Linked DNA regions of Drosophila melanogaster. The protein of the gene in region 1 interacts with the protein of each later gene in a pairwise test. Each region holds a gene or a part of one and is shown on either strand. Other genes may lie near its edges.

What was found.
Region 2: the proteins of tio (region 1) and Mtp interact in a two-hybrid assay, tested with the Drosophila melanogaster proteins (one large-scale study listed by BioGRID).
Region 3: the proteins of tio (region 1) and Neu2 interact in a two-hybrid assay, tested with the Drosophila melanogaster proteins (one large-scale study listed by BioGRID).
Region 4: the proteins of tio (region 1) and GATAe interact in a two-hybrid assay, tested with the Drosophila melanogaster proteins (one large-scale study listed by BioGRID).

The regions. Positions count from the first base shown.
Region 1 is NT_033779.5:22,017,531-22,025,240, forward strand, and holds the start of tio (tiptop), read left to right. Parts: upstream 1-1,677; 5' UTR 1,678-2,504; coding exon 2,505-2,560; exon of another isoform or gene 2,561-2,724; intron 2,725-3,157; coding exon 3,158-5,613; intron 5,614-5,835; coding exon 5,836-6,398; 3' UTR 6,399-7,710. UniProt on the Drosophila melanogaster protein: Tiptop (tio) and teashirt (tsh) have, on the whole, common activities. Tio and tsh repress each other's expression and tsh has a crucial role for trunk patterning that is in part masked by ectopic expression of tiptop.
Region 2 is NT_033779.5:20,918,562-20,924,432, reverse strand, and holds Mtp (microsomal triacylglycerol transfer protein), read left to right. Parts: upstream 1-1,556; 5' UTR 1,557-1,680; coding exon 1,681-1,747; intron 1,748-2,361; coding exon 2,362-3,161; intron 3,162-3,216; coding exon 3,217-4,147; intron 4,148-4,206; coding exon 4,207-4,747; intron 4,748-4,814; coding exon 4,815-4,982; intron 4,983-5,040; coding exon 5,041-5,194; 3' UTR 5,195-5,339; downstream 5,340-5,871. UniProt on the Drosophila melanogaster protein: Catalyzes the transport of phospholipids such as phosphatidylethanolamine (1,2-diacyl-sn-glycero-3-phosphoethanolamine) and phosphatidylcholine (1,2-diacyl-sn-glycero-3-phosphocholine) between membranes.
Region 3 is NT_037436.4:21,488,314-21,492,177, reverse strand, and holds Neu2 (Neuroectoderm-expressed 2), read left to right. Parts: upstream 1-1,591; 5' UTR 1,592-1,698; intron 1,699-2,127; 5' UTR 2,128-2,176; coding exon 2,177-3,325; 3' UTR 3,326-3,328; downstream 3,329-3,864. Other genes in the region: CG7202 (uncharacterized protein), read left to right, coding at 1-730.
Region 4 is NT_033777.3:16,010,302-16,018,286, reverse strand, and holds the start of GATAe (GATAe), read right to left. Parts: upstream 6,014-7,985; 5' UTR 5,549-6,013; coding exon 5,504-5,548; intron 2,060-5,503; coding exon 1,722-2,059; intron 1,579-1,721; coding exon 645-1,578; intron 577-644; coding exon 81-576; intron 23-80; coding exon 1-22.

The DNA.
Region 1 (7,710 bases):
TCGATGTACACGATATTTACACGACGTACATATTTCTAAGTTACAGGTTTCTAAAAATACAAAGTTTTTTTCTCAATTTAAGGAGTTTTTAATTCATGGCTAGAAACCCGAACAATAAGAAATCTTACTAAAGTATAAAAACATTTGTTTTTAGCTTTTTTACGCTATTTATGTGTATATTATATTTGATATATATATTTAATAATAATTCAAAAATAGTAGGCCCAATGTATAACTTCATTTTCGTTAATAATTTTTGTTGAAAATAAAATTGTCTCGTGGTCCATAAATTATGTATGCTTTTATAAGTCCCTGACCGTCATGCGGTTATTTAAAGTAAAGTAATTTCTGTATGTTACCATTTATTAATAATTATCTAAAAAATTAGCCAGAGAGAACGCCGACTCATAGATACCCAATAGTGCGGACGAAAGTGGGCGTTGCAGTTTTGGGCGGTTTGTTGGCTCTGTCTGTCCATCTGACCGCCCAAAGATCTTAGGAAGTATAAAAGCTAGAAGGTTGAGATTAAGCATACAGATTCTAGAGACAGACGCAGGGCAAGTTTGACCTACGTTGCCATGCCCACAAACCGTGGGAACCTGTCACGATCACACTTTTAAAAAATAGCTTGATTTTTCTTCGTTTTATTGTTTGTCTTGCCAATATCTATAGGTATACCAAACAAACCATAACTTTACCGCCCACACTTTTGAACAATTTTTAAGTTTTTTCTTATTTTATTCCCCAGTAGAATTATTGAATCTCGCTTTTCCATTGGCTGAGTAATGGGTATCTGATAGTTGGGGAACTCGACTATAGCATTCTCTCTTGCTTTAGTTTTAAATAATTAATATTCTAACACCAATGAAATAAGAATTTTAAATATATATAAATAAATTCTGTAAGCGGATATGCCTTTCTTTCTCGCTCCTACCTTTAAAGAGTGTGAAACGCCGAAGACGAACCGCAAAACTAATAAAGATGCGTAATGGCCGTCTGCGCACAAGTATTGGAAAATAATAACAGTGTATGAAAAGCGGGTGCACCTTAAAAGGCGGGACAAAGGTGCAGACCACAAGATGATTTCAGAGACCTCAAACCTCCCCTGAGCTTCCAAGTATCCTTTAGCGATGTGCATGCAACAATTGTTCCACAAGTGATTATGCCAGCAGTAGATGGCCATACAAAGGCAGAGGCAAGCAAACCGTTGTAGGAAAAAACTGCGCAAAAATGAACGCGATTCAAGTGCTGCAAATGAAAACTCTTTAACTTTAACAAACCTCCTCTCTCTCTTTCTCTCTTTCTCTCTGACGCATTGCTTCATTTTCAATTTCAATAAATAACCTTGATTTAAGCGGCAGCGACGTCAACGCCGGCAGAGCAGTCAGCATTTGACCAGCTGCAATACATGCACAAATGCGGGGGGACCTAGCGCTCACACACGGGTCAGACCGGCCCCTCCCCACACACAAACACCTGTCACACACCACTGTCTCTCACTCGCTCTCTCTGCAATCCCTCTGCTCTCAGTGCAGGAGAGGTAAGCGTAAGCGAGAGCCGCCGCTATAAATCAAAACAAAGGTGCTCGACAAAGGTGCGCATGCGTCGGTTAGAGCTTGAGAGCGAACGGTGCTCTCGCCTCATCTCATATCCTCTCTTTCATATATCATTTTAATGGGGAAACTATCTCTTTCTCTCGCTCAACTCAGTTGTTCTCTCTTCTGCTGTCGCTCTCGCTGCCCACTGTCAGCTCTCAACGTTCCGATTGTCAAAAAGATATTTCAGTCGAATGTTTTAGTTTCGACCTCGGCCGAGCTGGAGACTCATCTAACGGCTTTCTCAGCGGCAAGTTCGAAATCATGTCGCCTTTGAACGGTGGGTGGTGCAGCAGTAACGGTACATCGCTCGACCTACGACTAAATTGCGAGTGCAGAAAATAGTGTTCACGGAATTAACAGACCTCGAAAATCCAAGTGTAGGCGAATAAATAAACGAAATTATCGTGGAAAGCCATCAATAAATCACCAAATTAATAGCCCTGACGAGCACCCACGGCATACGCACAGCTGTTGTGTGTGCAAAGTGAGAAGAGGAAGCTAAAGGAAGTGAAATTGGCGGCAGTTTGACCGCAACAGCAATAAAATACGTCTGCAACCCACAAACGCACGCTCACATACACCCGTTCGTCATCGAATCGTCGTGGTCCTCCGCTTCCCAGTCCTCGCCCGCCCCTCTTCGACACACGAACCATTGTGACATTTGATTTATATGACGTGTGTGTTTTTGATAGAAGTTCAACACGAAACTGTCACACAAACACACGTATGCTCGCCGAGGAATTTATTCAGTGAACGAAAATAAAATCAGAGCTCCGTACGCACTTGGCCGCAGTGAAACGAATCCGCCACCATCGATGAGCAGGCGGACGAAAGTCGGAAGTATCGCCAGGCAGTCCAGTAATCAAACCTTTGGAGAGCGAGCCCGGATACCCAGTTTTCTACAAAATGATGCTGCACGAGGCCGTCATGCTGGAAATCTATCGCCAGGCGCTGAGTGCAAGGTGAGCGCTTCCTCCGATTTGCTGTTCCACGCCAATAGCGATTCGATACGGGGTTTCCCGAGGAGGTTGGGCAGTTCCCTTTGGAGATGCAGTGCTTTATTTCGATTATTTAGTCGAAAGCTGCATAAAGTTAATTGGGCATAAATAAAAGATATAACTAAAACAACGCAGGCGGCATTTTGAATCGAGTTTGTTCACCCTGCTGAAAAGTTTGTTGTGAATGCAACTTCTTGCTGTGCCGATTGATTAGTGTGAAGTTTACTCCATTTGGCACGGTTTGCGTTGATAAACGAAAAAATGCCGCTTAGAAAAGATCTTTCCTAGGTATTAAAATTTTTATTTTCTCAGCGCGATTAATGTGGCTCTTCGTATGAACAAATAATCAATTAGTCATTACAATATAATTATTCTGCTCCACAATGGAATGCTTGCTTTCCTAGTGATACCAAATTGACAGAAGCACTGTTGCTGTTTTAATGTCCGATATTTAAAGAGCTTAAAGTACGAAATTTTAAATAGAATATATATATATACCTTTTTTTCGCATGTAATTGTGACTCAATTCTAACTTCCATCACCTTCGAATTTTCATTTTAGTGAGTTAACTAGTCCGCGATGTCAGTCTCGCGATTCCAACACCTCAGCTGGAGCGGGTGCTGGAATGGCCGATGTCCGATGTCCATCGAATGAGTCGCATTGTTCGGCGAACGACCGTCTGACCCCAGCTGCAACGCCCACTCTCACGCCTACTGAAGCAACCATCTCCCCAAACTCGGTGGGACTTCCCCTGACGGCGACCCTTCCTCCTGCAGCTGCAGTTGCTCTGCTACCGCCCCAATCCGCCGCCATGGCCGCTTACCTAGCCGCTGCCCAACAAAATCACCTTCTGCTAACAAATCCATTGGCGGCAGCAGCTTCACTGGTCCAACATGCAACGCAGCAGGCAGTGGTGGAGGGGGAGGTGGAGTCGCCGGCCCTCGATTTTAGCAGAAAGCGGCCTAAGAGCCACGGAGACGACGATCAGGAAGAAGATCAGGAACAGGACCAGGAACAGGAGCAGGAGCAGGAGCCCGATCATGATGTCCAGTGCGATAATGGTCCTTTAGATCTATCTGTAAGCACAGGGAAAAGGCAAGAATCGGTTTCTCCGCCTGCCAGGAAGATTCCAAGAAGTATATCCGCAGATTACAAGTCACCTCTTCCACCTGGCAGCTGGATGCCCCCCATCAACCCATACTTGGCAGCTGTAGCGGCAAAGACGGGCGGACTGGGATATTCTAAGTTAGCACCCAGTGAAGCCAGCAAAGCGTTGGAGAAGATGACTGAGATGAGCCGATTGGAAACATCCCCAACAGCTGCCCGAAGCTTAGGCGCCACATCATCTGTAGGAGCAGGAGTGCCTGCGGGAGCTAGTTCCAACTCCGGTGGCCGGCACAGCGCGTGGCAGTCTCATTGGCTGAACAAAGGTGCTGATACTGCAAAGGATGTGTTTAAGTGTGTGTGGTGCAAGCAGAGCTTTTCAACTCTGGCTAACTTAACTGCCCACATGAAGGAGACTCAGCATTGCGGTGTGCAGATACCCTCGCCGTTGCCAACCGGAGGAGTCGGCACTCCGTCTGCTCCTCCTCCCACAAGGTTGGCCACTTCAGCCTCCAACTCGGCCTGTTCCAGCAGCAGTAGCTCCACCTCCAGCTCTTCAAACTCCTCGAAATCAGAGTTAAATATGCTAATTAAGGAAACTATGCCCCTTCCCAGGAAATTGGTGAGGGGTCAGGATGTTTGGCTCGGAAAGGGTGCGGAGCAGACCCGCCAGATACTTAAGTGCATGTGGTGTGGACAAAGCTTCCGGTCTCTGGCCGAGATGACCAGCCACATGCAGGAGACGCAGCACTACACGAATATCATCTCGCAGGAGCAGATCATTTCCTGGAAGTCGGGCGATGAACGGGAGAGGCCGACCAACACTGGAGTTCCGTCTACGTCCACCGCTGCTCCCTCTTCGCCGAGTTGCACAGCTCCATCAGTGAGTGCCGTGCTCACGTGTAAAGTTTGTGATCAGGCCTTCGGTAGCCTAAAGGAGTTAAGCACCCATATGGCCCAAAAATCGCACTACAAGGAGTCACCGGCTCCGTCAGCATCTCCTCCAGCTGCCGGCACTGGCAATCCGAAAAGAGGAAGGCAAAATCGCAACGAGAAACGCAAGAAATCCCTGCCGGTTAGGAAGCTTCTTGAGCTCGAGCGTTCCGGCTCGAATTCAAGTCTGGACTCAGCGCTAAAGCCCTTGAGGGACTTTGCTGCTGCCACCAAAATTACCTGTGAAAAATGTGGCAGTAAGATTGAAACTGCGTTGTTTGTCGAGCACATACGAAAGTGCCTGGGCGAGAGTATTCCAATCCCTCCCCGTCGATCTAACGCGGGAGTAGATCGCCTGCCAAGTCCCAGTCTAGGACTTGGCGCTGAAAAGCCACCATCAGTCCTTAATGCCCTGGAGCAACTTATAGAGAAGAGCTTCGAATCGAGAACCAGCAGAACCATGACACATGGAGGCTATTCCGAAGCTGGAACTCCGCTTGGAGCCAGCATCCTAAAGCGTTTGGGAATTGAGGACAGCAGTGACTACACCAAGCCCCTTATGGATGCCCAGGCGATGCACCTGCTCCGATCCTCCTTCGCCTCGAGAGACCGCAGTGCCAGCGAATCGAGCTCAGCCAGTAGGGTGGAATCATCCTACACCCCAGACAGACAGCAGGCCACCCCCCACAAAAGTCCAGATACTCCTGCTCCGCCTCCTCCCCCACCGCCAACCATCAAAGCTGAACCACTAGAGGCGGAACCCTTGGTGGGTTGCGATCGGGAGGGCTGCAGTCCTCGGCAGCAGATCCAAGTGAAAAAGGAGTTCAGCATGGAAGCATGTCGGGAGAGTCCTCGGTCTGTAAGCAAATCACCTGCGCCGCAGACCGAAAGATCTCCACCAGATAATGGCAGTCTACTGGCGTTGAACTCCATGTTCGATCAGCTCAGTGGAGTGGAGAACAGCGGCAATAACAACTCGGGTAAGAGAAAAAACTCAATATAAAAAAATTGTTTTAAAGCGTAAGGCTTAACTAGTGACGAGGTATTAGTCAATTGCCAGAAAATCGATTGGCTCACAACCTTGTAATCTACGCATGCCAATATTATTAGTTATTAATTATATATTAACAATTATATTTCTATACAAATGAAATAAAATAAATAATAATGAATAATGAAAACTGAACTAATCATTCTTCCAGGGCATTGCTTTAACAACAACAACAGCTGCAGTAGCGTCTCCGCCCAGAAGCCAAAGGCCCATCCTCTAGCTGCGCTGCAGAAACTGTGCGAGACCACGGATCCCCCAAGCACTGGCCTGCGCAGCGCGTCCTCCGCCGGATCCTCCACAGCATCAGCAACACTTCCCTCAGCGAACGGTAACGACCTGGTGGCCTTCAGCTGGGCCTGCAACGAGGCAGTTCTGAGTGCCAGTAATGGTGGCTCCGCCGGCGATTCGTCCATCATTAAGTGCTCCTACTGTGATACCCCTTTTGCATCGAAGGGCGCCTACCGCCACCATCTCTCCAAGGTGCACTTTGTGAAAGACGCAGGCGAGGACTCGCCCAGGCTCAAGTCCCCCGCCGTTCAGAGCCCCAGGTCGATGCCATTGGCCTCCCCAAGGAGATCAGCTTCCAGGAGTCCGGCGACAGGATCTCAGCAGCCCCCTCCCTCGCCAACCATTAGCCCCTATGACGAGAGTCCGCAGTCAAAGTTCCTCAAATACACGGAGCTGGCCAAACAGCTATCCTCTAAAAACGCCTAAACTGCTGAAGAACGGAGAACTTGTAGAGAAGAGATGTCATCCATGAAAACAGTAGAAGAATCTATTAGCAAAAGTGCTTAGGGACGACTTAAAGCGAATTAACAAATTGGGTCACAGATTGCAGACACGTAAGCTGTATTTAATATTCAGAATTTATCCTTTGGACTGAGGCTACATTTAAATTGTTCATTTTACGAAGCCGACTGTTTAACGGTCGTATGAAATCATTCAATCAAAAGCCCAACATACTTTAAACTGAATAACCATCCTAGTTGATGGTTTAAATTAAAAAAAAAACGAGGATACTTTCGTCGATGCCTGTTAAACAAACTTTAGCAATCCGTTTGCAAATTTCTAAACAACTGCATTGATTTGTGATCATTATTCTGATCTGCACAGCTCTCGCTCTTTCGTCCGCTCTCTCTCCAAATTTCAAAGTTCTCACTGTCTCTCTCTTTGCCGCTGTACACCCAACAAGATTTCCCCTACTTTTGCTGAATTTAGCAGGAAATTTCCCCAGACCACAAGGCTCTCTCGTGTTGTTGTTTGTTCCCCTTCGTCAGTGACGTCACGGCGATGATGGTCTGCTCTTTATGGTTTCCCAATCGGACAGTCGCAGTCTAAAGCGCGAGCGAGAGAGGACTAGCAAGCTGGAAATTCAATTACCACCACTTTGACGAACGGCTGTCCATCAAAGCGAGTCGGACAGGGACGGCCATAGTGGCGGAGTGACGAAAGGCGACAACACGAGTTCGTCAAAGTGGAATTGGATGGTGGCGAGAGAGACAGGCATAGCACAGTGGGTGTGTAGAGAGCAAGAGAGTGAGTACTCCTACTGAGTGGGAAAAATGTGGTTCGTTTTCGAGTGCATTTGAATTCAGATTTGAGTGCACTCAGGGAACAAGCCAGCCATTACTTATTTATTTATCCGCAACTCCTTGTCACATGAATGAAAAGGAAAAGAGTGCCAAAAATCAAAACTGTTTAAATCTAGAAAGAAACCTAACCAGCTAAATTGGTTATTCTAAGCAATAACAAAACAAACGCAACGCAGTATACGTAAATCCTTACACTTAAACAATAACCTTAATGATAGAACCAATTAATGGTCGCGTGCAACTCTTAGCGAAGCACATGTAGCCCAAACGATGAAATGCATTGAATAAATGTAAATACTAGCCAATGGCATTTTCCTTCCATAAGTCTAAAGATTACCGATATCTACATCAATATAAAGCCACAGCAACGCATGTATACGGAAACAATTTTAAAATGATATATTCATACACATATTAAACTATATAAAACCAAT
Region 2 (5,871 bases), 1.1 Mb from region 1:
AAGATTAATATTTGTTGTGGGAATTTATAGCGCAAGAGAGCATTCCCCTTGGTCCCCAGGATCTTGCCAGTGAAGTTGAACTGCGCAAGTGTAAGGATTCATTTTGCGGTCGGAGTGGATAGCTAATTGTATAAAAAACCACCTTGGGATACTGATTAACGGGCACGAAGACCTTTTGGGTAATCTTTATCGGCTTCTGCTTGTACACGTCTGCGTATAACTCCTTGCCGGGAATACGTCCAGTGCCATAGACACGGTCCACAGCTGCAATGTGGGATTAATACCATTAAAATACCCTGTAAAGGGCCGAATTGATTTTACCCTCGGCAATTAGCAGTGCGCAAAGTGGAAACTCCGCGGACAATCACTGGCTCTCCTCGACCAAATCGGCGAGAAACTTTTGGGTCACCTCGTTCAGACGCGGCTGGTGGTCGTGGGAAGGTGGCTGTTTCAAAGGTAACGCGCTTGCTGTTCCCATTTTTATCGTAACAATATTTACCGAAAAATCACAATTGAAATTGATGTAGACTGAATAAAGAATTATATATCAGTGACTTAAAAAGGGAGACCTGCCAAAAGTTTGAAGTTTTGAGGCTGCCAACTTTTTCAGTGCTATAGTGATTGAACAACGGTCCAGTCGCCAATCCTTAGTTAAAAATATAAAAAATAGAACCCCGTGGAAAGATAACCATATCCGTAGTTGTTCCCCAAAAGCAAATATGTATATCCAAAGATGAACATACATACATTTGTTTTAAGCGTTTATTAACTCAGCCTTACTTTAGACATTTACAGTCATACTTAAGCTACATCAGATTAAAAACAAGAGATAATGCTATAGTCTATGTTCCCCGACTATCAGGTAACCGTTACTCAGCTAGTGTGAATGCAAACGCGGAAGTTTCATAATTTTTCTGGGATATCGGTAGATATTGGGTAATAAAATAAATAAAAAAAATTGTTCTAAAGTGTGGACGTGCAAGGTTTGGCGACTTTAGGGCGTTAGAGTGGGCGTGGCAAAAAGTTTTTTGCAAATCGATAGACATTTATAAGACTAATACCATTATGAAAAAATACCGAAAAACGGTTCAAAAACGTGAAACGTTGTGGGCGTTAGAGTGTGCGTGGGACATGGATCAACAAACTGCGCTGCCTGTATGTCCCTAGAATCTTTGTTTCTAATCTCAACTTTTTAACTTTTAAAGTTCCTGGCTTCTCAACGTTCAAACGGACGGACAGACAGACGGACATGGCCAGATCGACTCGACTATTGATCCTGATCAAGAATGTATATACTTAATATGCGCGGAAACGCTTCCTTGTGCCTGTTACATGAATATAGTATGAATATTTTTGGAGGTTATAATAACATGTATACTCATTTAAATAAAATAAAAAAGTTTGTAGAAGCTCGAATAATTTACATACATTCTGGCACTCTCCGTAACAGTGGCGCCCTCTTGCTCGCCAGCTGTTCAATCTCACCACAGCCCAGCTCAGCGACTCTCAGCTGCTTAAAGTCACCACAAGTCAGAATCTCGCTCCTCAGCTCCGTTCTGTTTTCATTCCGCTTTTAATTCCGTCGCCTGCCGGCTCGGCTCGGTATTATCAATGAATTAAGTTTAATTTACCTCTGCTCAGTTTAATATAAGTACAGAATCGAACAAAGACCTTGGGAAAATGGAGAACAAAAATAAGAAGTGCCTGCGAACCCTGCTACTGCTGGCCCTCTTTTTGGGACTTTTGGGTAAGTAATGCCAATATTTGCGATTAGTTGGGTAAATGGGTTTTGATCAAGTTGAATGAACTCTTTGTGGTAGGTAGCGTTTGGCGATAAACAACAACATTGACAGTGCCACACCTCCGCCTACGCACACAAACAAAAGGCCGAAAGAGAACTTTTATCTGACACACTTTCCAATTGAAGCAGCTGTTTTTACAGTGGGGCAAGTAACAGTATTGAAGGTCAAGGAAATGTGACCTGCACAGGTGTTTCGTTTTGTTTCTGTAAAGTTAGACAAAAACGTGCAGTTACCCGACCCTGAATTGTTAAAAACCGAAACATAGATAAACATCATCATATTTGTTCCCAAAGATCCCCGGATTTAAACACATCCACATCGACCTTTGCTATCTATCACCCCATCCCTCCTTCAGATTATCACTCCCTCGTACACGTTGCTTCCACTATTTGCCTTATCGCTGCCCACTGTGCAGGGCCACTTGTTGATAACCTCGACCCAGGCTTAGTAAACGACGAAAATACATATCAGCATGTAGCGCTGCTTCTGGGTGAAAGTTATAACAATTCGTTTGACTAATGACGTGTTCTACTATTTCTTTTCGGCCACATTTCTGTAGAGGATGGAAAAACGGCCCTAATAGCTCCGAACAGTCAGCAAATTTTCAAGCTACAGAATCAAGTGATACTCCAGGAACTGGGACGAGATTCAAGCTCCGCGGAGACGAGCTATACATTTGAGACAGATCTCAAGATCAACTCAGTTTGGAGTGGAGATGAGGACCAGTTACTGGAGGTTTTTATCAGCGGAAGCAAGGTCGACGCCTCTGGAAAAGCCCGCTCAATTACCCGGATACCCGATAGACCTTTTTATATTAGTCTGGTTAGGGGACAGCCTGACAAGGTCATCGCCCATACATCCAAAGATCAATCCCTGTTGAACTTGGAGCGCGGAATTGCTTCCCTGCTGCAGCTCAGATTGGATGCTTCCCAGGAGGAGGAACTGGATGTTTCTGGCCTGTGTCGTGTGTCCTATAATGTCAAATCATCCACGAAAGTGGAGAAAACCAAAAGGGACTGCTCTCTGTGGGATCTCAGGGTCAACTATAACCCAGAAGAAGCTCTTGGAGTTACTCAGCAAGCCCAGGAGACGGTCTTCTACGAGCTCTCTTCAGAGGGCACACTCTTGCATGCAGAGTCTCAGGAGAATCACCGCCTCAATCTAGCTGCCAAACCGGATGTGGGAAGCTTCGTGAAGAGTTCGTTGATTCTGCAACACGTCTCGCAAGGATCGGAGGAAGTCAAGCAACTGCAACTAGGCAGCTTAGATAAGGCCATCCAGAGCCTGCTCGAATGGTATCGCGTTTTTGAGCTAGAGTCCGATGTAGATGGCATGATCAGTGCGATCAAAGAGCAAACGGTATGTAAATAATTTCAAATTTGGGGATTGCTGAACTAAAAATATATTCTTCCAGCTGGAGGACCAATTAAAGGCCTCTCTGACGGAATTGCAATCCGCCGACGTGGGCAAATCCTCGCTGGCTCTTGCGTACGTAAAACTAATTCCCCTGGCTCGCATCACAAGGCAAGAACAATTTGAAGATCTACTTACGGAACACGCAGAAGTTCTGCCCCAGTTGGTGGATCTTTTGGGTGCTGTTCAAACGTTCGATGCTCATAATGCCACCTTTGGATTCCTTTACAAGGAGTCGGAAACCACAAGCGAGCAATTGGATCTGCTAGAGAAATACCTGCAGTCCCTGGCGGTCGCCACCCATCCAGACAGGAAAATAGTTGAGCACTTGTTTGGATTGCTAGAACAGGAATCTATCAAAAAGCATTTAAAGCTGAGGGAAAGCGTTATCCAAACCGTGGCCACCTTGACCCGCCAAAGCGGACTAGATGTTGAAGATCCTTTGTTGAAGGAAGTGCGTTCTTATCTACTGCAAGGTCTCACCTCCAAGGAGCCTACCTTGTACATAAGGGCTCTGCAAAATCTCCAGGATCCTGCTACCATTGAAGCTCTGCTGGAGCACGCTCAAACTGGCGAGGCTCCCAATTTATCGGTGGCTGCCTTACAGGCTCTGAAAGCCTTTCCCCTAGGTAGCTTTAACTCTTCACATCGCTTGCAGTTCGAGAGCATATTCTACCAGCGAAAGCGTCGCTTTGATAGCTCCGCTCGCACTCTGGCTCTTGATATTATCCTGTCCCTCCGGCCAACTCAGGAGCAATTGGGCAACTTCTTGGATTACCTAGCCTCCAATGATCGCCAGTTTGAGATCAAAACATACGTGCTGCAGAAGCTAAGAATGCTGGCTGAGAAGTGCCCGCGATTTAGGGCTTTGTTCAAATCGGAGCTTGTCAAGCGGAGGCATGTAAACAACTACAATGTGCTGGGACAAAAGGGTGAGTACCTAATTTCCTAATGACACTGTTCAAACAATTATGAACTTTAATACTTACAGGTCTTACGACAGTCCTCACCCGTCAGCTTTCCCAGGCTCCAGCCTTCAACGAAACCCTGCTAAGTACCCAGGAAGTGTATCAGGGAATCCTGAAACGTGGCTCCGTGGAATTTCTGCTCCACGCAGGCCGTTCCCAAGCCAGCAGCTTTAAATTGGGCATCTACACTGCCGGCTTGGGCTCGCTGGTAGGCGATGGTGACTCCGGCGATGGAAATGATGCAATCCCGGCGGATGATGAGTTCAGCGAAGACGAAGCGGTCACCGCGGGCATGGAGATCAGTGTGCAGGGTGCTCAATTGCGACCCCTAGTATTCTTCAGCGGTCAGACCGAGCTAATGGGTCACGTGTGGGGAGGAAGTGCCTCGGACTCAACGCCCGCTTACCAGGCAACCACTTTGTCCCAGGATAACGAGCACTACATAATCCTGACCTCCGGGGCGACGCTCCACTGGCGAGTTCTGGGCGCCAGGAGTGTGGATCTCAATGGCAAGGTGGGATTCAGCCTGTGGAATCGAAATGCCCAGACGGAAATCCAGCAGAAGTAAGTGAAAAAGCCAAAGCATTTGATTGGAATGTTATTTAACTCACGATTAACTTTTGGCTTATAGCACTGGCAGCGCTGTTCTTGGTCATTTGGCCGTTGGCTTTACGTATGCGAAATTAGTGCAGGATTTCAGCATCACCCACGAACCAAAGTTGAGTCTGAATGCGGACTTGGACTTCTACAGCGGCATTAAATTGTGCATGCAACTCCAGCGACCTGAACAGCTTCTCAAGTAAGTTTGCTAGAACTATTTTAATGACTCACATGCTAATTGAAAGCCTCCTTCACAGACAAACCAACGTTCGTTCGGTTTTCCTGCAGTCTGTTGATCGTCCTTATGCCAAACATGTGCGCTCTACACTCTCCCACAAAACTGCCGGCTGCACTTTTGCCCTCAACCAAAAAAACAACGAAATGTGCAACCTCATTTTTAGGGACTTGTAGATTCTACTCAAGAGATTATTGGAGATTCCTTGCATAAAAACTATATTTCTATGTGAAAACTCAGAGATTAAGACTCGATATAGTTGTAAACTTAAACGAACAAAGACCATTTAATTTTCAAATGCAACAAGTTTTTAATATCTTTTGAGCAACTCGAAAATTACTGGAAAAGTGGAAATGTGCATTTTTTCTCGATTCACAATAGTCACACCTTAGATTTAAAAATCCCGCCCAAGTGCTGCGAAACGCGAAAGGGGACTTATCGAGCTATCGATTGCAAGAGCTACGCATTCCCATCCCTAAATTCCGCAGTACATTCAAACACTACTACGTTGTGCTTCTTCTTCAAACGCGGCATAAAAGAGGTGCACTCCACAAGCACGAAAAGAAAATAACTACTGCAAAAATATCGTCGAACGCACGAGTCATATTAAATAAAGGTTAATAGAAGCAGGCATCGGAAAAGCTTGATTCCGGAGAAGTGAAACAAATTAGGCCACCGAATGGTGCTCTTCTTCTTTTTGTCGGAATTAGAAGGCTCGTCGCACACACACAGTCGCAAACAAATGCGAAATCAAAAGCGTCATCCGATTGTCTAAAGTAAATACTTCTATTTGCAAGCTGAAAGGCGCGACAAATTAAATAGTTCAAACTTAATAAATCGATATTTGTGTCAC
Region 3 (3,864 bases), on another chromosome or scaffold:
GATTACGTTTGAGCCGCAGCTGTGCCACAGTCCCTCAGAGCAGAGTAGCTCCGACAGCTCCGACAGCACCTACCAGTTTGCGACGAGCTTCGGCGTGATCTTTGCCCTGACCTTTGGTCTGTCCAAGCTGCTCCAACTGGCGGAGCTGCAGGCCAAAAGGTATTTCAAGAGCAAAAAGGCGCTGCATCCCAAATCTGCTGCCAAAGTGCAGGACCCAGTTGTTGAGCAGAAGGCGCCAAGCCAGCAGGACGATTCGAATCCCTTCGATCTCCTGCAGGACCACAATGAAAATCTGAAGGAGCAGCTCAGTATCCTGCAGTTGCAGTGTCTGGAAATGCGCGAACTTCTGCACGAGCTGGATATCAGCAGTAGCTCCAGTAGCTATGGAAGTGTCAGATCCGGAAACCGGGTAGCAATGGCCAAGTCCTCCGAAGAATCAATGGTGGTGTGGAGGCGATCGGACTCCCTGACCGGTACGGTCTCCGGCTCATTGCACGCCGAAAAGGTCAACTCCCCCTCCACACAAAACATCTACATTACCAACAGCCACTTCCACATCAACGGACAGGTCTACCTGACCGAGAACCACGTGAACGTCGAGCTCACCCAGAACGCTTCTTTGTTCGGTCGGGGGCAGAGCGAGTTCCTGCAGGTGGCGGGAAGGTTCATCTCCGGACCAAAGAAGATGCCCATGTTAACGGGCATGCGGTGCCACAACATCCTCATATGAGGAGTCTTCAAAATCATCCATTTCACTCGGAATAAACAATGTTACTAGCAATTCAACGACGTTTATCTTTAGTAGTTGGTAATACAAGGGAAATGGTTCCATAGAAAAAGGGCATCGCATCAAATAAGGCTTGCTCGACTATAGGTTACTTTCTAGTTTTATTATTGTAGTTGATTTAACATAAATGTTTTTAAAAACTTTGGGGTTCGAGTGTTTTAATGTCATCAAGAAAAGGAATTTAAGGAATAATTCTAGCACATTATCTATAAAGGCAATAATCGCTTACTCCTTTTGATTTACAAAGTTATTAATAATGTACATATGTACTTAATTAACACCAGAAATCGATGCCATTTACTTTGTTTTAGTCTTGTATTTAAAATTGAATTATTCGTTTTTTTGTACTGTATGTTTTTTATTGAATAATTTGCTACTAGAATGATTCCGCCATGGGGTATATTGGGAATAGAAGGGTATGGCTAGCTTTATTGGTCATTGGGTAAATGGTTTTCCCCTGTTTTCCACCACCCCAATAAGTATATTTCGTTACAAACACATGGTTTTAGAGTTCAGCAATAATGATTTAGCACTTTGGGGTCGACCAAGGAAAGATTTTTTCTTTAACCATAGTTACTTTTACCTGCATGTATCACATTATGCATTGACCTGCTTGGATCTACAGAAAATCGTAAGATTAGTTGGGACGCACCGTAAAAAGATGAGTGCAGCTGCTGGAAAGCCCTTCTTTGATGACACCTGACCCAGGTAACATTGTTAAATATGCTATGTTGCCCATTTTACAGAACCAAACGACCTTGGGACATGTTTGTATATAAGCCTTACGACTTACCTATTCACTTCAGAAGGAGTACAACCCTTGTCATAGCAACATCTTTACAGATTGCCAATTCCTGTGCTTATTGCCACATTTTAAATACGCATTCGCCGTGAACAAACACGAAAATAAGGTAAGTTTAAGGTAAGGATTGCCATTGTGGGTCAATTCGTGCCGAGTTAGCAAAGTCATAAATAAACCAAGATGTATTTGGAAATTAGTGCAATTTATGTTTAAAGCTCTACACAAGTATTAAATTTCATTGATTATTAAATATAAGAAAGAGTGCAGAGGGTTCTTTTTGATGCTATGCAACTAAAAGATGACGTTTGTCACTGACCTTATAAAGTGTATGTGTCATCCATGACTACGATCTAGTCGTACCTATTCTGTCCGTTTGTTTGAAAGTTGAGATCTCAGTGTATTTAGCATTCAGGATGTAGATTCCAGAAACGCTAATACTCAAAGATCTGGGAATAACCATTATACTTTTTTGAAACCGTTTAAGTGCACGATTTTGTATATTCGCAATTTTATATTCACACAGTTCGTGTCATTTCAGATCGATGGAATCGTCAATATGCCGAGTTTGCCTGGTCAGTTACGAAAATATGGCCAGTGTTTTCGATGAGTCTCATGAACCGGGCCTATCCATTGCGTACATAATATACAAGTGCACCGGCTGGCAAGTTGAGAAGCACGATCCACTGTCCAACACCATATGCAAGTCCTGTCTGGAGGATGCGCAGAATGCATTCGATATCATAGAAACGTACGAGAGAAGTCACCAGTTTTACCGCTTCCTCAAGGATGTACGGGAGGAGGAGAGTGAAAATGATGGATCCGGATGCTCAGAAGAAGTGGAGGCAGCTGAGAGGGATCTCCAGGATGGTGCCGACGACGTCGATTCCGGCAATGAACCTGATATTAACGAATGTGATATCAAGGCCAAGGAGAAACCAGGCTTTAGCTGTTCTCACTGCCCTAAATCTTTTCAAGTAAAATCAAATCTGAAGGTACACATGCGTTCACACACAGGAGAACGTCCCTTCACGTGTTCCCTCTGCCCCAAGTCCTTTGGCTATAGCTCTGGTCTTCAGAATCACATGCGAACCCACACAGGAGAACGACCCTTCCAGTGCTCGCATTGCCCAAGGTCCTTTACAGCTGGGCACCACCTCAAGGCCCACATACAGATGCACGAAAGAAGAGGATCGTTAAGGTGCCCATACTGCCAAAAGTGCTTTCTAACTTCTTTAATTCTCAAGCAGCATTTGGCCACGCACACTGATGAAACGCAGTTCAAGTGTTCCCAGTGCTCGAAGTCCTTTCAAGTCGAACATGAACTTTGGATGCACATGCGAGTGCACCAAGAACGCCTCTTTACTTGTGGCCATTGCTCAAAGGACTTTGCGCTACATGCGTATCTCAAGCGACACCTGTCAAGGAACGCGAGATGCTCTCAAAGCTCAAAAGCATCTGCTCACAAAACACTAGGCCACTCAAAGGCACTTAAGTGTGGTAAGTGCCCAAAAACTTTCACTGACCGTTCGGCTCTGTCCACTCACTTGAAATCACACACCAAAAATAAGCCATTGCTCGAAGGTCCTTGCAAATCTTCAGGATCTAAGCCGGCACATAGTAACGCACAAAGAAAACCGTTTAAGTGTTCCAGCTGCCCAAGGACTTTTTCGCGGAAATCCGCACTGCTAACACACTTGCAAACCCACACAGGAAAACTGGGCACAAATCGCATGTAGAAGAAAGAACCGTTTGAGAAGGCTAAAAGAATTCGATTCTTTTTTTTTTTTTGTTCGCACGGGTCCTACGTCCACACCTCCCGCCCAACCGACCGAGGGGCGCTGCCGTGTATCGTACGGCTCGATTCGCGAGAAGATATAGACGCGATATAAAAAAGAGAACAGGAACGAGGAAATGAATATAATGTAAAATAACTATATTAAATATTACTGTTAGTAGGATCTAATTATGTAATAAAAAAGTTAAAATCGATTGCTTTAAGAGCGGCAGAGAGTTAAGTCTATTATAGTCAGAACATAAAACTCTGTAAGGGTCATGCAACTCATAGTTAGATCTACAATGATTTAAGATAAGGGGTATATAGTTTCTAGTGAATCTACTTGGAACCGAAAAGTTAAGCCGACTAATAAAGTCGGGACTCTCAACATCCCCACGAATAAGCTTACAAATAAAGACTGTTCCAAGCATAGTTCTACGGTTAGCTAGGGACGGTAAATTAATTAAAGGAAGTCTACTAATATAAGGAGGTAATATACGG
Region 4 (7,985 bases), on another chromosome or scaffold:
AGGTTGACTCCCTGCGACATGCCTGGTTGGGAATTGGGATTAGTTTATTGCATACTGTAATCCCTGGCAGGTGTACTCACTCGGCAGCGGTGCTCGGTGCATGGGTGCTCCTCCGTTGTTCTTAGGCTTCCGTTTGCGCTTCTGGATGCCCTCCTTCTTCATCGACAGCGGTCGGTTCATGTTGTGCAGCTTGTAGTACAGTCCGCAGGCATTGCACACCGGATTGCCCTCGTTGTTGCGACGCCACAGGGTCGTCGAGTTGGTCTGACAGTTGGCGCAGGTGACCCCGTTGCGCCGGTTGTTGGGGGCGGCGGCGGCCTTGGGCTTCGCCTGCCTCTGGGTTATACGGGGCGCCATCCGCATAAAGGCCGGGCAATTGGGACAGAAGTACTCGCTACCCTTCCGCAAGAACGGCCCATGGCAGTTCTCGCACTTTAGCTCGTGGTTGGGCGACGATGTGGACGAGGCGGTCACCAGACTTCCATCGTACTGCCCTATGCTGCTGGCGGGCGGCCAGTGGGAGGTGCTCATATTGCCGCTCCCGTATTCATCAATAACCTGCGGATGGAAGTTGCTCTGTGCAGCATGCGGGAGAACAGTTAGTATGTACCGCCTCAAGAACCAGTAACTTAAATTATACTTACAAATTGAACACTCTGGTACTCCGGCGGGGCGGGAGATGCCCATAAAGGCTCGATGCCGTTGCCGCCCTCAAAAGATATCGTCTGAAAAGTAGCCGGTCCAGTCTGGCGCAGCAGTCCAGTCTGATTTAGGCCAGACTCGGACTTGGCCAAGAATTGACCGGTGCCCGGAACACTGTAAATAGTGTTTCCCTGCTGAAGCGTTGCCGCATAGCTATTGCTACTGAAGCTGGAGCTGGGCGGGAAGGGGGCATATGCGTTGCCTAGGTCGGCGTAGGTCTTGGACTCGTTGGCATGCACACTGCCATCCACCACGGGTACATCGTAGTACATATTCGAGGCGGATGTCTCCGGTCCGGCGGTGGTGAAGCGTACATCCTCCGTAACGAAGCGCACGGTTCCACCATGCGAACTGGTGGCAATGTGAACCGTCTGGGCCGCCGCCGATGCTGCAGCTGCCGCCTGGTGTTGGTGGTGTTGCTGCTGATGCTGCTGCTGCTGGTGCTGCTGCTGCTGTTGGTGGTGATGCTGCAGTGCCTCCGCCTCGCTGCTGATCACTATGGTCTCGCCGTAGCTAGCTCCGTTGGGTGTGGGACATTGCTGTTGCTGCTGATGCTGGTGTTGCTGCAGTTGCTGCTGCTGTTGTTGCGACTCCCCCGTCGCCTCTCCCTTCTCGAGTGTTTCGATTTTGATCGCGGCCACATCGTCACCGTTGCAGATAATAGGATAGGCGAAGATGGTGCCCGGCGGAGCTCCGGCAGCAGCTCCCACCTGTTCCGTCACCTCTGCGTTGCGTGGCGCCATCTGCACGTAGTGAGTGGCTCCGGGAGATTGGTGTGCACTGCGCTGGTACTCGATGTGGCTATCCGAAGCAGATCCTGAGCTCGCGTTGCTGGCGTTTGTGCTCGGTTCTCCTTCACGAGCTTCGTTTAATTCACTGAAATGTTGTTAATAACACTGTTAAATAACAATGGTAAATTGTAACTATCGATTGCCATTTGCATTAGATGATTGTGTTTAAAAATGAAATTTGTGAATGCTTATGTTCTTAGGAAAAGAAGGTCTCCAGAGGTTACTTACAGTGTGCCGGCTGTGGTGAGAATACGGCGCTGGTTGCGTGGCACCACCACGTACTGCTCCTCCGGTTCGCTGACGCCCGCTTGGCCCGTCTGCACCACCACGCCCACCGATGTTGCGGCTTGCTGTTGGTGTTGTTGCTGCTGCTCCTGCTGCTCATCCAGATTGTTGGCCGTCTGCTGGGCCAACTGATCGGCGCCGTTGCTGGACTCGAGTTTGATTTTGTCCAGCAGTTGAAGCTGCTGCTTGGTTAGAGCCTGATGCTGTTGCTGTTGCAATTGTTGCTGTTGCTGTTGCTGTTGCTGTTGCTGCTGCTGCTGCTGCGTTGTCTGCTGTTCCATCTGCAATGAGCAAGCGACAAGTGTTGAATGCCATGTTTCGCCCGGCTCGTCTCAAAAGTGTGGCTCCAGTTCCGGCCGTTGCAGTGCGAACTGCCCGCCTCGGTTTCCGCCACAAAAGTCAACAAGACGCAAGCCCAACCAAGACCGCTGAGACGGACTTCAAAGACACCGCCCGCGCTCGACTCACAGCTCAATTTGTCGCCTACAACCGTAAAGTACCAGAAACTGAGCCGAACGGAGACGGGCTTGGAGGCGACCCCTCTCCTTTCTACCACTCAGTTGCTCAGTGTCAACATTGTCGAACACATTTTTCACTTTTATTCCATTTCATTTCCACCAGCAGAAGTATTTGCTCACAGAACCCTAAACTCAGAGCGGTGCCTTGGTTTCGTTTTCATTTTTCTTGTGTATTCGTGGTTTTTTTTTTTTTTTTTTTTGGTTTAGTTTGGCTTTTGGCGGAAATTAAACTTGGCCATAAAATCGCTTTGCTTTCCCCGCCATACGTCAGTCGCTTTTGGGTTTATGACCTCATTCCGTTGGGGGTGGCACTTCCACTTCCACTCCAAAGCCCCATACCCATCCCCATCCCCATTCCCATCCTCGAGCTTGTGTCAACACATTCGATCGTCACTGTCACCTGATTCACGATGCGGCCAGGTTGAAATTTACCGCCAGTCCGCTCATGACAAGTGCCATATAGCTCAGAGGCTTTCAGGTGGTTTCCACCTTTACCATGGCTATAAATATACCAAAAAATGTGTGTGCTTATGTGTAACCATCACCACCGTCAATTGAGGAAATCCACAGCAACACTAAAGGAAAATTTTTGTGGCCATTGAAATATATTGCAAAGATAATTGCTTTTAACTGAGATATAACCATATACTTGTACAGGTGTTTTTTTTTTCCGAAAATAATCACCACGCTGAATTGATTTAATACATTCCATAAAAATCCCCACTCTCCCTTTATATGAAAAAACTAATACTTTATCTTCCATTTAATGAAAATTGATTCACTTTCGCAGAACTTTAGGTTGACGTGCCACAAATGATTGATACATTTTTTGCGTGGACACAAGCCAAGTTCAATGATGATTCAGTTGGTGACAAGCCGTAAAAATGAAAAATCTAACGCTTACCAAGGTACAAAGTTTAATTACTTATGTGGAAGGCATATAAATGGGGGACGAAAGAGTTCCATGGAAACTGATTGCATTCCGCCGGCGGTGATGACCGTGCCAAGTTTTCAACGTCTTGGCCAAAGTTCAAAGAATTCCCTGGATGGAAAGGGTGCGAGATAATGTGGTGCAAACGTCACTTCAGACAATCGTCTGCCCGAAATGCAGATAAACCCGACTTTGAGTGTGTGTATATAGTAGTAGTACGATAGGTAGGCCCCCATGCACGTGCCATGTACCGCGAAAAAGTTAAGATACTACGGCCGAACGATACGGACAATATCTTATCCGGGCGCTATCAATGTACATAATCAGCTGCTGCTGCTGCTGCTGGGACTGAGAGGTCATGGTTGGTATCCCCCAACTGCCCGCACCCACTCTCAGTTGCGGCTACGTCATCAATAGGGACAGATATATCCAAGAATTACAAAAGTTGTGCAAGCGATGTTTGTCACCCGAGAATGGCAATGGCATGCGCTATTTGCTCGGCTTAGTCAAGAATCGTTGCGAGGGTGTGGAGTCCGCTGAACTTATGAATGAAATCTGCCCAGTCACACCCACAACCATACACACACACACACACACGTACATTTCGTACTTTATCTATATAAACAAAAGATATTGACTATATAATCGCACCTCGTTTCGCTTTCGTTGAGCTTGGGTTCGTGGTTGAGCAAATTTCAAAGGCAGCTCTGACCAAACATTTTAAGGCATTTAGAACTGAATAGAACTATAAAACTTGAATATAATGCAGTTGTGATGAATGCTATTTTTGTTAAAATTCTAAATTTCTCGAGGAAATTCTTTGCCAGTTTTACTTTTTATTTTAGACTTATAAAAAAATATGAACAATTTCTTGGGTAAGACTGCTTAAAGGCTAAAGATGTGAGAGCACTTTCAAAATATCTATATAATTAACAAAAGAATGGGAAGTAAATAAATGTACCCATTTTTGGATATACATTTATACCCTTTATATCTGCCCTCGTTAGAAGATCCTTCGATTAATTAAACTTCACTGCAGTTGGCTAATGAAAGTGAGATAAGACTCTCGACTGCCAGCTGCATTTACAGCTCTATTAAAGGGCCATCAATCGCAACCTTCGCCCTCTCTCCTATCAGCCATCATCCACTGTCAACTGGCGACGCGTGTCTAATAAAAGTATCTGCAACTGGAACTGCAACTATCGATGCCGCCATTGAGCAACTGTTAAGGGACTGTTCTTCCATTGGTCGAAAGGACACTTCCGGCAGGATAAAAAGTACCCCCAGATGAGCCAAGGGTTGGCATTCATTCACAAAACCAACCCCAAGCCCATGAAGGATACGCTAGAGACAGGGATAAGGAGCAGGACCAAAGCGAGGTGATAAGATTGACATAAATTTCACATTATCCGTGGCCAGCAAAAAATGGGTAAAAACAGTCCCTTTTCATGAATGAAGAGGAGCGAGCAGTTGAAAGTCGGCTGCGTGTTTCAAATTTTATTTTTGTCAAAGGTATTTTGACGCCACCTTCGATCGCAGCTGAATTTGGACCTCATAAAGATTAGCCATCTTTCCACATTTAACTTGCTTTCTTGTTGCCCCGTTTTCGTACCCATTCTCGTTTTCTTAATGGTTTCGGTTCGTTTCGGTTCGGTTTTTCTTCCAAGAGCAGACACCAAAATAAGTGTCGCAGTTTGCCGCTGCATCCCAGATGACTCATTCATTATAAATCAATTTGTCTTATCTTATTTCCCTGGCGCTAGAACTGAAAAAAATCCATATCGCTGCCGTTTGCGGGCTAAAATCATTTTCTGGCTCGGTACACCGAAGGATGTAAAATCTATATGGCTATTCGAGCTGTAAATACCTTTGAAAGCTCTTTATACTCCGTTAATTAATAAATTAATATTTATTCGTGCCTTGCGACTGATCTATAAACTTGAACTATCTGCTTTTAATGACCCTATATGGCCTGTCTATTTAGCTTAATGAACTTGTGTGAGAAAACGTTAAAAACTTTTATGATCTTTCAACAAAGTAGAAATGATAGATAGGCTTATAGAGATCTCGTAAATGAGCATCAAAAAGGTATTTAAATGTTTTTAATAGAGTTCACGTATAGTTGCTTTAAGCGGTCAGGTTGATATTCTCCATTCCGATATGGATTTTAAACGGAATTGGTTTTGAAAAGAAAATACCGACTTGGCAAACTTAATATATAATACCCAAAAATTACGCTGACTATTTTTGAATAATTATAAGTTTATTTTACCCACCTTCAGCTGCATGTTTACACTCGGTGAGATAGTTTTGCAGACCATCAAATTGAAGTTACGCCGCTTCTTTGCGTTTCTTCCAGCGTTTTATCTAAGATTGGTTTTTATCACTTGATTTCAGTTCTGTTGTGTTTTCAAAAATTTATCACAAGCACGGCTTGTCCAGGTGTTTGGTTCACTTCTCCTATCAATCTGGGCGCCCGAAAAAGTGCCGCGCAAAGTGAGCAAGTGGGGAAAATTGGCGAAAATTGACGAAAATTGGTAACTTGGGAAAGTAGGAACTTTGGAGCTTTGGGGGCGATCTAATGCTGTCACCCGTGGGGCGATTGTGGTTGTGGCCCGCGCGCAACCTTTGCCAGTTAGCAGTGATACGAAGTGCTATTTTTTCGAGACCAACTGGGCTCTGGTGGTGGCACTGGTCTCCGGTCTATGGGCTCGATACACTAAACACTGAGCACTCTGAGCACCAAGCACCTCACTTGCGATGACAACAACGACGGCGACGCAATGCGGTGCCTGCGGCGCGTTTGCCGCCCAATTAGCTACCCACACCGATGAAGATCCAGCGCCTCTGCGGTTGGGCGGCCTCACACCTGTGTGGGTGCGTGGTCCTGTCGGTGTGGCAGCGTTATGATTTATTCTGTACCGCCTCGCCTGGTATTGGTTATCTTATCGACACACATGCGATAAGATACGCAACGAGTGTTGGTGCCACGGTTGCGATAAGTATCCGTGAGATACAAATTGCGCCTGCGCGCTCGGCCGATTTTCCAACACACCTATGTTACACCAATGTTCCGAGGTTTCCGAAGAGTGGCGTCAAGAGGCCCACCAGCCGGCACAGTTCAGCCAGCACCACATTTGATTCCATTTCCACCCTTCAGCGCTCCTCACCCTCGCCCCCTGCTATTTGTCAATTGTGCAATTTAGTCTAGCGCATTTTCTAATTGCACTCATAAAACACTTTTCTGGCAAACTAATAAACTCGAGCAACGTTAGTCAACGTCAACAGAATATCATCGGATCGGGCTTGGGCCTGGAAAGTGGGACTGGGCATGGGCATGGGCACGGAAACTTTATATGACCCCACGAACAGTCGCCCGAATGTGGGCCGCTTTGACAGCTCGACTGCTCGGTTGTTGCGCTCCACTTCCACTTCTCCAGTTCTTCTAGTTCTCCACACTTCACAATCCACTCTCGAGTGTTGTAACTAATAAACACCGCCGGAGGAGGCGGAGGTGGAGGGCAGGAGCACACGTGGTCGAGGATCAGGTGCGGCGCATATATTGCAAAACCCCTGAATTGTCACCAGCCAGGAAAAGATTGAGTTTGAAGTGGTTGGGTGATTGGAGTGCTTGGTCAGAAATCTGATATATTTTTCAACCTGTCAATTACAGATACTTTGTAAGCAGAGATGTATGTGTAGATAAATATTGTAAACATATCTTTACTATATATAGGGATGTAGTAGCTAAATAGTACATTTTATAATAAAATGTATATGAAAACCATGACTTAAATTCTAAAAAATTCAATCTAGGCTTATATGCTTAATGCTAAGCCCCTATGGCAATCCGTACCAACTCCTTGCTTTCTTTTCTTCGAAGAGCTGCAATCTGTAAGTTAGCCACATATCTTGGCCACCCAGCCAAGTTGGCCCAGCGAATCATAAATTGTTTATAGTTAAAGTCATAAAGCAAGCAGATATATGACGGCCATTAACATGCACAATCCCCTCGGAGTTGCTTATAATGCCACAATTACGGGCAACTTTCCGCTGCTCCCATGAATGGAAATCGAGTTGAGGCGATAATTTTAATTGTTGCAACGCATGCGGTGCATAAATCATGGGCAAATCTTAAGAGCAAAACCGGCAGACAAAAAGTATCTAATAGTAGCTACTGCTGCGTGTCGCGAAATATCTGTGCGGTGATTAATCACTCAAAAAGTTGACGGCTATGCCAGTTTCGATCGTTACAAATGGCGCTACACGAAATCAACATTACAGGAGATTAATGCTGAGGAGGAGGACTCCAAACTGGATACCCGGCCACAGGACTGACTCATCGAGGTGGCTCTCTTGCCACGGCAGAGCCGGGCAATTAATACCCTAATTGATGGCACCGCCGCGCCTAGCTTTAGGTGCTTTGCCGGCGAATTTACGACCCTAAGACGGAAGACTTAGGGGCGGCGAAACAGACAGAGTCTTAAGATTGCTGACCATGGCATATCGTGTACACCCGGAATCGTACACCCTTCAACTTGTCCACCTCCATGGAGTTTCAAGTGCTATGTCCGTGAAAGACCATAGAAGCGAACCAAAACCTTAAGAAACCATAGCCTAAAAGTTATCTAGCCTCAAGTGTTCTCGGCCAGTTGACAGTATCGCCGATCTTTGTCTGGAATGACGCTATGGAATTTAATTTTTATATATTCTTTATTGCGCTCTTGTTTTGGTTATAATTGTATTATTTTTCTAGCT